2 linked regions of the Caenorhabditis elegans genome follow. The protein of the gene in region 1 purifies or fractionates together with the protein of each later gene. This does not show direct contact. Each region holds a gene or a part of one and is shown on either strand. Other genes may lie near its edges.

What was found. Proteins that work in one complex are often made in the same cells at the same time.
Region 2: the proteins of W01H2.2 (region 1) and F47B8.10 fractionate together in Caenorhabditis elegans (co-fractionation; one large-scale study listed by BioGRID). This does not show direct contact.

What each region holds. Positions count from the first base shown.
Region 1 is NC_003284.9:4,217,758-4,220,487, reverse strand, and holds W01H2.2 (uncharacterized protein), read left to right. Parts: upstream 1-2,029; coding exon 2,030-2,209; downstream 2,210-2,730.
Region 2 is NC_003283.11:14,340,105-14,346,235, reverse strand, and holds F47B8.10 (Major facilitator superfamily (MFS) profile domain-containing protein), read right to left. Parts: upstream 4,265-6,131; 5' UTR 3,040-4,264; coding exon 2,907-3,039; intron 2,438-2,906; coding exon 2,205-2,437; intron 2,157-2,204; coding exon 1,851-2,156; intron 1,750-1,850; coding exon 1,519-1,749; intron 1,440-1,518; coding exon 1,301-1,439; intron 1,186-1,300; coding exon 857-1,185; 3' UTR 532-856; downstream 1-531.

The sequences.
Region 1 (2,730 bases):
ACTGAACCACTATATTTATTGGGCACACAACACTTGCATACATATAATTTAAAATGTCGTGCCAAATTTCAGTTGAAATTTTTTTCAATTCAATTTTAATTAGTGGTTTTTCTTTGTTTCAGTTCTACGATGTCACTTGTCATGCTCACGCCATGTAACATTTGGAAGTAGTATTTTGGACAAAAAAAAAGTTTTTTTTTTGGCAACTATGTCGAATTGAAAACGTCCATAACTGCCTCTTCCCCCTGTCTGTTTTTGTGCGTGGTGGTGTGTTCACTTGTATAAGTAGTTGTGTGTGATGGAAGTATTAGCCAGCATGGCGACTATTGTATTGAGAAACTGGTATACTGTACATTGTTTTACAATAGACTTCTTCAGACCTCAGGCGATTTTCAATTTTATTCCGGTTTTTCGAATGCCCAATGTCCAACTAACTTAAGGCTCTGACAAGATGTCCTCAATCATCTTACATTTTCTTTTTGTATTTTTTTTCCTATATTTTTGCACTCTAACAGACCAGGCCTCGATCGGTTTAATGGTACCCTTTTCCGAGTCCTTTCACCATCTGGACGTTTTTTACACAGATCCGACCAGACGCCCTCGATGAATGGATTGGTCTGTTCGCGAAATGGACATCGCCCCGTCTTCCTGTTCCCCTTTTTTTCCTTCACCCGATTTCCAAACCGGCGATTGGACGTCGTTGCCCAATATTCCTTACATCTCTGTCCAGACTGGCTGAACAGACACAACTTTGTCAGTCTAATTCGTGGCGACAGGAAAGACTCAGTCAGGTGGCGAGCATTTTTTTTTTGGCAAGTTGGTCACGTTTTTGATCAGTAAAAACTGATGATCAGAAAAAAGCTTTTAGATTCATCACAAGTTATATGTTTTCATTGCACTTTATTTTCATTTATACTATAGAGCCTGATAATTGAAATTTATTTGATCTGAATTTTTTCACACCAATCTTTTTTCTTTTTTCTTCTCACAGTATTTTCTTCACATACTTGTTTCTAACATTTTCCCACTCAGAATTTTCAAGATAGGGCCGCCGCTGCCAGCAAAAATGTTTTTTCTCTTTCATCGATCGTCTCAAAGATTGCTTCCTGCTCCATCCATGTCAACAATTCTGCTTTTCCACCCCCCCCCCCCCCCCCTCCTTCGCCAAGTTTCGATCTACCTACCATAGGAAACACTTTTTTCTGCTGATTCATTTTTATTTCTCGTCCAACACATTGTCTTCACATCTTTACATCAAAACTTTCCTTTTTTCCTATTTCTCTTCCCTCACACTTGAATGTTCCTTGATGAAATCTCACAAACCAAAAAAAAAATCGATAGAATTTTCAATTCCATTTCTTTTTTTCAATTCTTTTATGACGCAAAAACTTATACTTAGGATAATCTCTGACCGATTTTTCATACAGTCTACCACGAGCAGCAAATTTTTGAACTTCAGTTTGGTTTTGATTTTTTTTTAATTGCCAGAATATTTGCCGTCCATGTAAAAGATTGACTACGGCCAGTAGTTTAATTGTTAATAATCATTTTTATGGTGCTAAAATTACCAAAAAATCTTCCAGTTTTATGTTTCAATTGTGTTTGAAATATTTATATTCCAACATTGTAGGGGTTTGAACATGCGATAATGCTTTAATTTTCTTGATAAGTGACGCTCACTTTTTGACTCAAAATATAAAATTCCAAAATTGTTCAAAAACTTTTATATAATATATTTGAACAATTTAGCATCATAGAAATGGGTTATAATCATTTTTGTCATTGGCCATACGTCACCATTAACAATTTTAGGCGCTGTTCTGTTTTTGTTTTGAGTTCTTATACCAATACCCGTACAGATTACAGTAATCTCTATATTCCTTCTATATTCCTTCAACAAAACACGTGTTTTTCCTGCAATCAGCCGACCCGGCAACCGAAAAATATTATGCATTGAAAGGAATAGCGGGGAAAAAAGGCAGAGCATGAAGACGAGGAGCACACAAAAAAAGACGAAGGAAGAAAAAAAATGCGAGAGGGAGAGGCTTGCCAACCAAACCCACGTCGTCTAGTCTGGGAGTGTGAAAAAAAAAATTTTCGCCCGCCCGCCGCCGTCGCAGCCCGCTGTCAGTTGAGAACCACCAGCGGCCACTCGACACCGGCACCGACGACACCCGATGCTCCAAAACGCGCATCATTTTCATATTGATCACAAATTCCGAGAGAGAAGGAATGTTTTAACCAAAAACAACAGATTCGGATTACTTCTCCCATCGAACGTTCTGTATAAATATTGTTTGGAAACACGTGGGCAGCCGATTTTTAACAAATCTTCTGTTTCTCTCAATATGATTGATTGATTGAGTTAATTAATCAAGGTCATCAATTTTTCAAATTTTCAAAATTCGAAATTTGAAACCTAAAATCCACTTTTTCTCTTTTTTTCCACTGTTCCGTGTCGCAGCGGTCAAAGTTAACTTTTTGAGTTGTCATTCTTTATTGCATATATAAGCCGTTTCTTTCAATTCATTTGGTTGATTAAGGTACATTTAAAACCAATAGTTAACTAAAAAATGATCCAAATTTGTTACCCAACGACTGAAAAATACCTCAATTAAAGATAATCTCAAAAAATCAACTTCCGACCAACTGCCGAGATTTTAGCGAAACTTAGTTCTTTTTCGAAATTTTGAAACGACATTAAAACAATTTTTAAATTTTTTTAAAAGT
Region 2 (6,131 bases), on another chromosome or scaffold:
ATTTTCAAGGCTAAGCTTAAAAATTCAAAAAACCTTATTCAAAGCAGTCCCTGACTGAGCCTGAATCCGGGCATCCGGAAGAACCACTGGAACTTGTTACCTTCTCTGCATGGCTTGACGCTCGACCATCTCGAGGAATTGTCCAAAAGCAGTGTAGACAGTGATCTTCTTGACCATGGTGTTAGTAGAGTTGATTGTGCAAGTTAGTTGAGCGATTGAATTCGCAATGAGTAGATTTATGATTTCAAGCTTGTTATATAGCATGTCTTAGCATGATGTACTAGATTTCAACGTGGATAAAGTTAACAAAAGTTCACGTGCACGGAAAATTGAAAGGCCATAATTTTATTTGCTTTAATTTCATAAAACAATTCAAAAAATGCAGTTCGTCACGGTAAAACTTCATCAATAAATATAACAACAATTTTATAGTTGACACTTAAAAAATTGCTATTACTTTGCTATTATTAAAATACAACATACGAAAAAGGTAAAATGCTCTACTCATGCTCTTTTTTCCAAAAACAGAAAAATCATAGAAATTGTTTATTAAATGGTTCGAAACAAACAGAACAATTTTGATAAAGCATGAAAAATGTACATATAAAATATGAATTTATTGTCAAACTGACAATTATCAATAAAATCATGATAATACTCTGACTCGTGGTTAAGCTATGACAATGGAAGTGGGTATTCAATTGAAAAAAAAAGAAAAATCTTCCCGTATATGAAAATTAGTGAGATTCCAAACAAAATTAATTTGTTTTTTGTTGTGAGTAATAATTTCAAAAATTGCATATATGTACAATTAAAAATCTATATGTACAATTAAAAATCTAGTGAATGTCAAAAATTAAACCTTATTAGAAGCTAAGACATCTCTAAATGGTTTAATTTTTTTCGTCGCGTAAAGGGCTAATAACATTGAAATTCTAGTTTTCTTATTGAGACTTGTCAAATTTCTTTGAGAATCTACAACTGTACTGCAAACTCCTGAACTTTCGTCATCATCTATTTCATTTTTAGATGCTTCATTTTCTGTAGTATCCATACGAAGACGTACACGGAATGAAGATACAAAGAGGACGATGACGAGTTGAACTGAGAAGATGTAGAGAAAGACTTTCCAGCCAAAAACGCTGATGAGGTATGCTAGAGGGGTTCCAGCAAGCATTGATCCAGCTGAAAATATTAATGATTAAAATTGAGATTATTAAAAAAAGAAGATTTTTGAAAATTATAATGCACCAGGGGAAAGAATTTGACATTGGACAAGAATTTTTATAAAAAAACTTACAGCTGGCAATAAACGAAATGAATGCACTGACAGTTCCTTGAATTTTCGAGAACCCAGCTTGTGAAGCAATCATGCACCAAACATTAATCGATCCATTAACAAACATTCCAGCTAAGAATCCAAAGATTGAGCTCAATTCCTAAAACAACTGGGTGAAATTTGATTATTTTTGAATAGTTAATACTAAATAAAAAATTCCTAATCCAAATAAAACTCACCGCAAACTCAAAAATTCCGGCTGCTGAGAACATCATCAGGCAGGTGTACGATACAGCAATCACACGTCTGGTTGCATCCACATCAAATTTACGAGTTGCCAAATCAATTACAATTCCAGATGCCATTGTTCCCACCAGTCCACCAATTTCATAGGTAATTTGGAAAGCATCAGGGGAAATTTTGGAGTCGGTCAGGAAAAGTTGAACCCATGTTTCACAGATTGTACGCATCTGAAATAAATAAATGTTGATTAAAAGATAACGATATTACAAAATAAGATTGTCCACAAGTATGCCAGCTCGACCCAGTGAAATATTTTCTTCACACTTACCTCCATGGTGAACAAGTAAACAAAAGATATATGCCAAATCACAATCGATCCTACAATAGTTCTCAATCCTCCTTTCTTCTTTTTCTCTGGATTTGGTTCCTCATCATCTTCTGTCTGCTTCGGAGACACATTATCCTCGCGGAGCACAATAAAGCATACTATCGAGAAAACAAGCATTCCTGCTCCAGTATACAGCTCTACATTACGCCAGTAAAATTTCTTTGAAAATGGCTGAAGAATTCCAGCGAATGTAGAACCACAAGCGAGAATTGAGAACATTGTTCCGTAGGTAGACTTGGAGTACCACTGAAAATATAAAAGTTGTGGAGATCTAATTTTTGTAAATCAACTCACCGATTGTACTAGTAGAGTGGCCGGAACCCATCCAGCGCCTTGTACAATTCCGAGAAGCATCATTGCAATCAACATTTGCCATAAGTGATTTGAAAATGCTAAACCAACTGAGCATGCTGCACAAGTGACAAGTCCCAGTAGTAAAAGAGCAACTTTTGAATATCTATCCGATGCCATTCCAAATAACAGACGTCCTATCGTGTAAAGAAGAGCATGTGAAGAAACGAGAATTCCTGAAAACTTGAAATTAGTTTAGATCAAGTATTTTTTGTAAGATGCTGACTTTCTCACAACCATCCAATATTAGCTATCAAAGTTCAAAGCTGAATTGATTGTGAATACGTGATTCTTTATCACTAGCTTCCTTCAAGATTTGATCATCGAATATTTAATTTATTATCGTATGGTCATGTGATGAATTATCAAATTGAAAAATCCCGTTTTATTGAAAGTTGTGTCAGCAGTCAGTTCAAACAAGTGATACGGTTGCCATGTAAACAACTGATTCAGACCTTTGAAGATCACACTACAGATTCGTATACTTAATAAAACTACAAGATCTTCAGTTAATGGGCAAAGTTGAAATTTTCTGAAATTTTCTTGTAAGCCTTTCACGTAGGTACAAAAATGGATTCTAAGTTTAGGCTCAGGCTTTGGTTGAAATTATTTTCCGAAATAAACACAAAATAAAATACAACTTACCAATATCATCACTTGTGAGCACAATTTCCTCCCTAATCAGTGGCAAAAGCGTAATGGGAAGGCGTCGAAAGTAGATATGAGCAAAGTAGATAATAGTGACGACGACAAACTTGATATGAGTTTTGAAGGACATGTCTTTGAGCGAGATCCAATGTGGAACTGTAGTCAAATACTAAAAATTAGAGTTGGAAGAAAAGTTCTGGACAGAATTTCCAGATGAAAAAATATTGTGAATAGTACAGAAAAGTCTCTGATAGACAAGAAATCAGGTTTCGATCAGGAGAATATTTATACAAAATCGTACATTGTGGGTGGGATGAGAAGAAGGAAACAGATAAGACAAGCGACACGTGACTCCCTAATAAATTCAAATTTCCAAATAGGCCACGCCCCCATTTGACCTGTTTCAGAAGGCTTCTGCATTGGGGGTTTCGAGGTGAGAAATTATCTATCTGCTTATCTGGAAATGACTGTAAAGAATATATATTTGTGAGCAGAGGAAAGAAATGAAGAATGCAAAATATGAATACAGTTATCATCAGAACATATCAAGATTCGATGATGACCTGAATGAGATTTACAGAGAGCGCTGGAATCGAAGAGACGCAGAGATTAGGAGAGCGTCAGTTAATCAACCAATCTGATGACTTGCCATGATATTTAATCTTTCAACTTGATTTTATGCAAATTCTTGTAGATTCACCGAACAATGAGATCAAACGCTCTTGTTTGTTGATAGGTAAGAAGAGGATGTTGACTGTCATTTCTAGAAGTTTCTGTAGAAAGCGACATGACTTTCTATTATTTTAAGATCTATGAACTTTTGAGTTTTAGAAGGAAAAAGAGTTTGAGTAGTCTCTGACTTTATTTCGATCTGAACATTTTCAGTGCGTTTTCGCGTCTGTATAAAGCTTTTACCGAATCGAGAGCTTCTGTTTTTTCTACGGGCTTTAAGAGTGGGCAATACACTAGTATTTTAAACTTTTAGTGTTAAAAAAAACAATTGAAAGTTCTTCCGTTCAGCCTGATCAAAATAAAAATAAACATCGTCAAAGAATTCATATCCCAAGAAGGTTAACAATACGAAAATCATGAAAAGCCGGAAATAAAAATTAACGCTCTTGGAGCAAATTTACGGTTCTCGTTATCGCAAAAATTAATTTTACGTTTTTTAGATCAAAATTTCATAGTGTAGAAGTATAGTTCGGCCGTTAAAATGTATGTCTAGACTAGTCTAAAATGACAAAAAAACAATTGTGAAACGATTGTAGCACTATACACAAAAATAATATGAGCATTCTTAAAAAATAAACCTTGAAACCACAAAATCGGCTAGTAAACATCATAAACGTTTCCTACAGTTCTTTAATCTATCAACATTCTAATTTGTGATTCAACTTTATCATCTCAAATTCCCCAAACTGGTCACTTGTCAAAACTTTTAAATTATGGTTCACATTGTTAAAAATACATTCCAAGAACTACAAAAGAAGCACGTGGTGTTGCAGTGTAATATTCAAGTCACGTGTGACGTGAATGCGTCATTTCCATTTTCAGAATAGGAGGCTGGAAACCGGTCCTTAAATAATCTTTGCAGTCAAAATGATAACAATTATTTTAATAGAATATAAGTTGAGGCATTCCTGGCACGCAATGTTTCAGTGGGAATATCCAACTGATCCAAAAGTTTCAGGTGTAAAATATTTCTAGACTCACTTCTTACTGTTCTCTCGGATATAAACTGTAATCGCAGTAACTGAAAGAAACTTGATAGTAACTGTTGGTCTTTATAAGAAATCATGGATGAAGCATCGTAGAAGACAAAAACCAGAATGTTTCGCTAGCACCTATTTGCTCGGAAGTGATCTTGGAACTTTGGCGGAAAGTGCGCAAATATAGCCAATTCAATGAGTGCATTCACGGGTGCATGTTGAATATTTTTAAGGCGACATCTGGGAGGAGGTAAAGGTGAATTGTAAGAATTTGTTTGGGAAACATTGTCTGGCAGAAAAGAACGGGTTCACACCAGAAACTCGGTTTTTCAAGCGTGAAGGTAGGTTCTAGAAAACTCAATGTTCCAGATCCCGTTTGTTAGAAAACCAGTACGTTGTCTGAATGAAGTAATGAAAATATTCAATGAAAATGAAGTGAATGAATGAAGTTGTAGTCTGAATTTATGTTGTTTAATTAAAGCACCTTGTTGGTAGAGCTGGAAAGCTTTAATGATGTTTCATCGAGGCCGATAATTTATTCAAGAAATAATAGGTTAAACTTCTTGCAAATACTGGCTTGTAGCCCCAAACTGTGAAAAAATCTTGGATTTGAAAAAAATCGTGCAGTTTGTACGATAATTAATTATTTAGAGATTAATTTTTAATGAGAACCTCACACAAAATGCCTAACTTTGACAGGTAGGCTAGAAGCTTTTGAAGATAAAAAATATTGGCTGCCTGCCAGAAGCAGTTTCGGGAAAGTTTGATTTTTGTCGACGTTTTAAAATTTAAAAGCTCGAGGACGTTGCTGAGAAACTGCATTTTTAAGCCCCTCTTGTTTTCATTTTTGAATAACGAAATACGTTTTGACGCAACCAACTACAACCAACTAACTAACTTTATCAACGAATTCAGTGGCAAACCAACGGAAAAAAAAACTGATGAAATTTTACCCGCTTTTCAACTTTTGCCATTGTTGAAAAAAAGTCTGATAAAACTGTACAAAAAGAGACGTTGGATCGTTTTCCTTTTGTACTATGAATTGTGAGCCGGTTGTAGTAAATGACGATTACAAACAAAAACAAATCAGACATTAATTCGGGATTTAAATATGCAAAAAGTGAGGGTGGTTTGGAAGGAGAATGTAGGACTACATGACGTTGATTCTCCAATATCATCTTTTGATTTCTTTTTGGTTTTTGAAAGTTCGCAACAAACAAAAGTATGGTGATCAGCAGGTTAAAGGTGAAAAATAATAAAATGGTAATTTTGAATTTTCTCTTATAACTAATTTACGGAGAGCACACTGTAGTTCCAAATCTAGAAGCACGAGTAGTCTACAGTCGCCGATTCTTTATCCTGATTGACCTTTGATAGCCATGGCCTGAAAGATGGTGGTTACCAAATTTGTCATGTAACCTAGATTTGAGTTATACTCGATGGAAAGTCCAGAAAACTTATTCAAAAATCAAAAACGCGTTAACTTTCGGTCACCAATGCATGCAGGAAACGC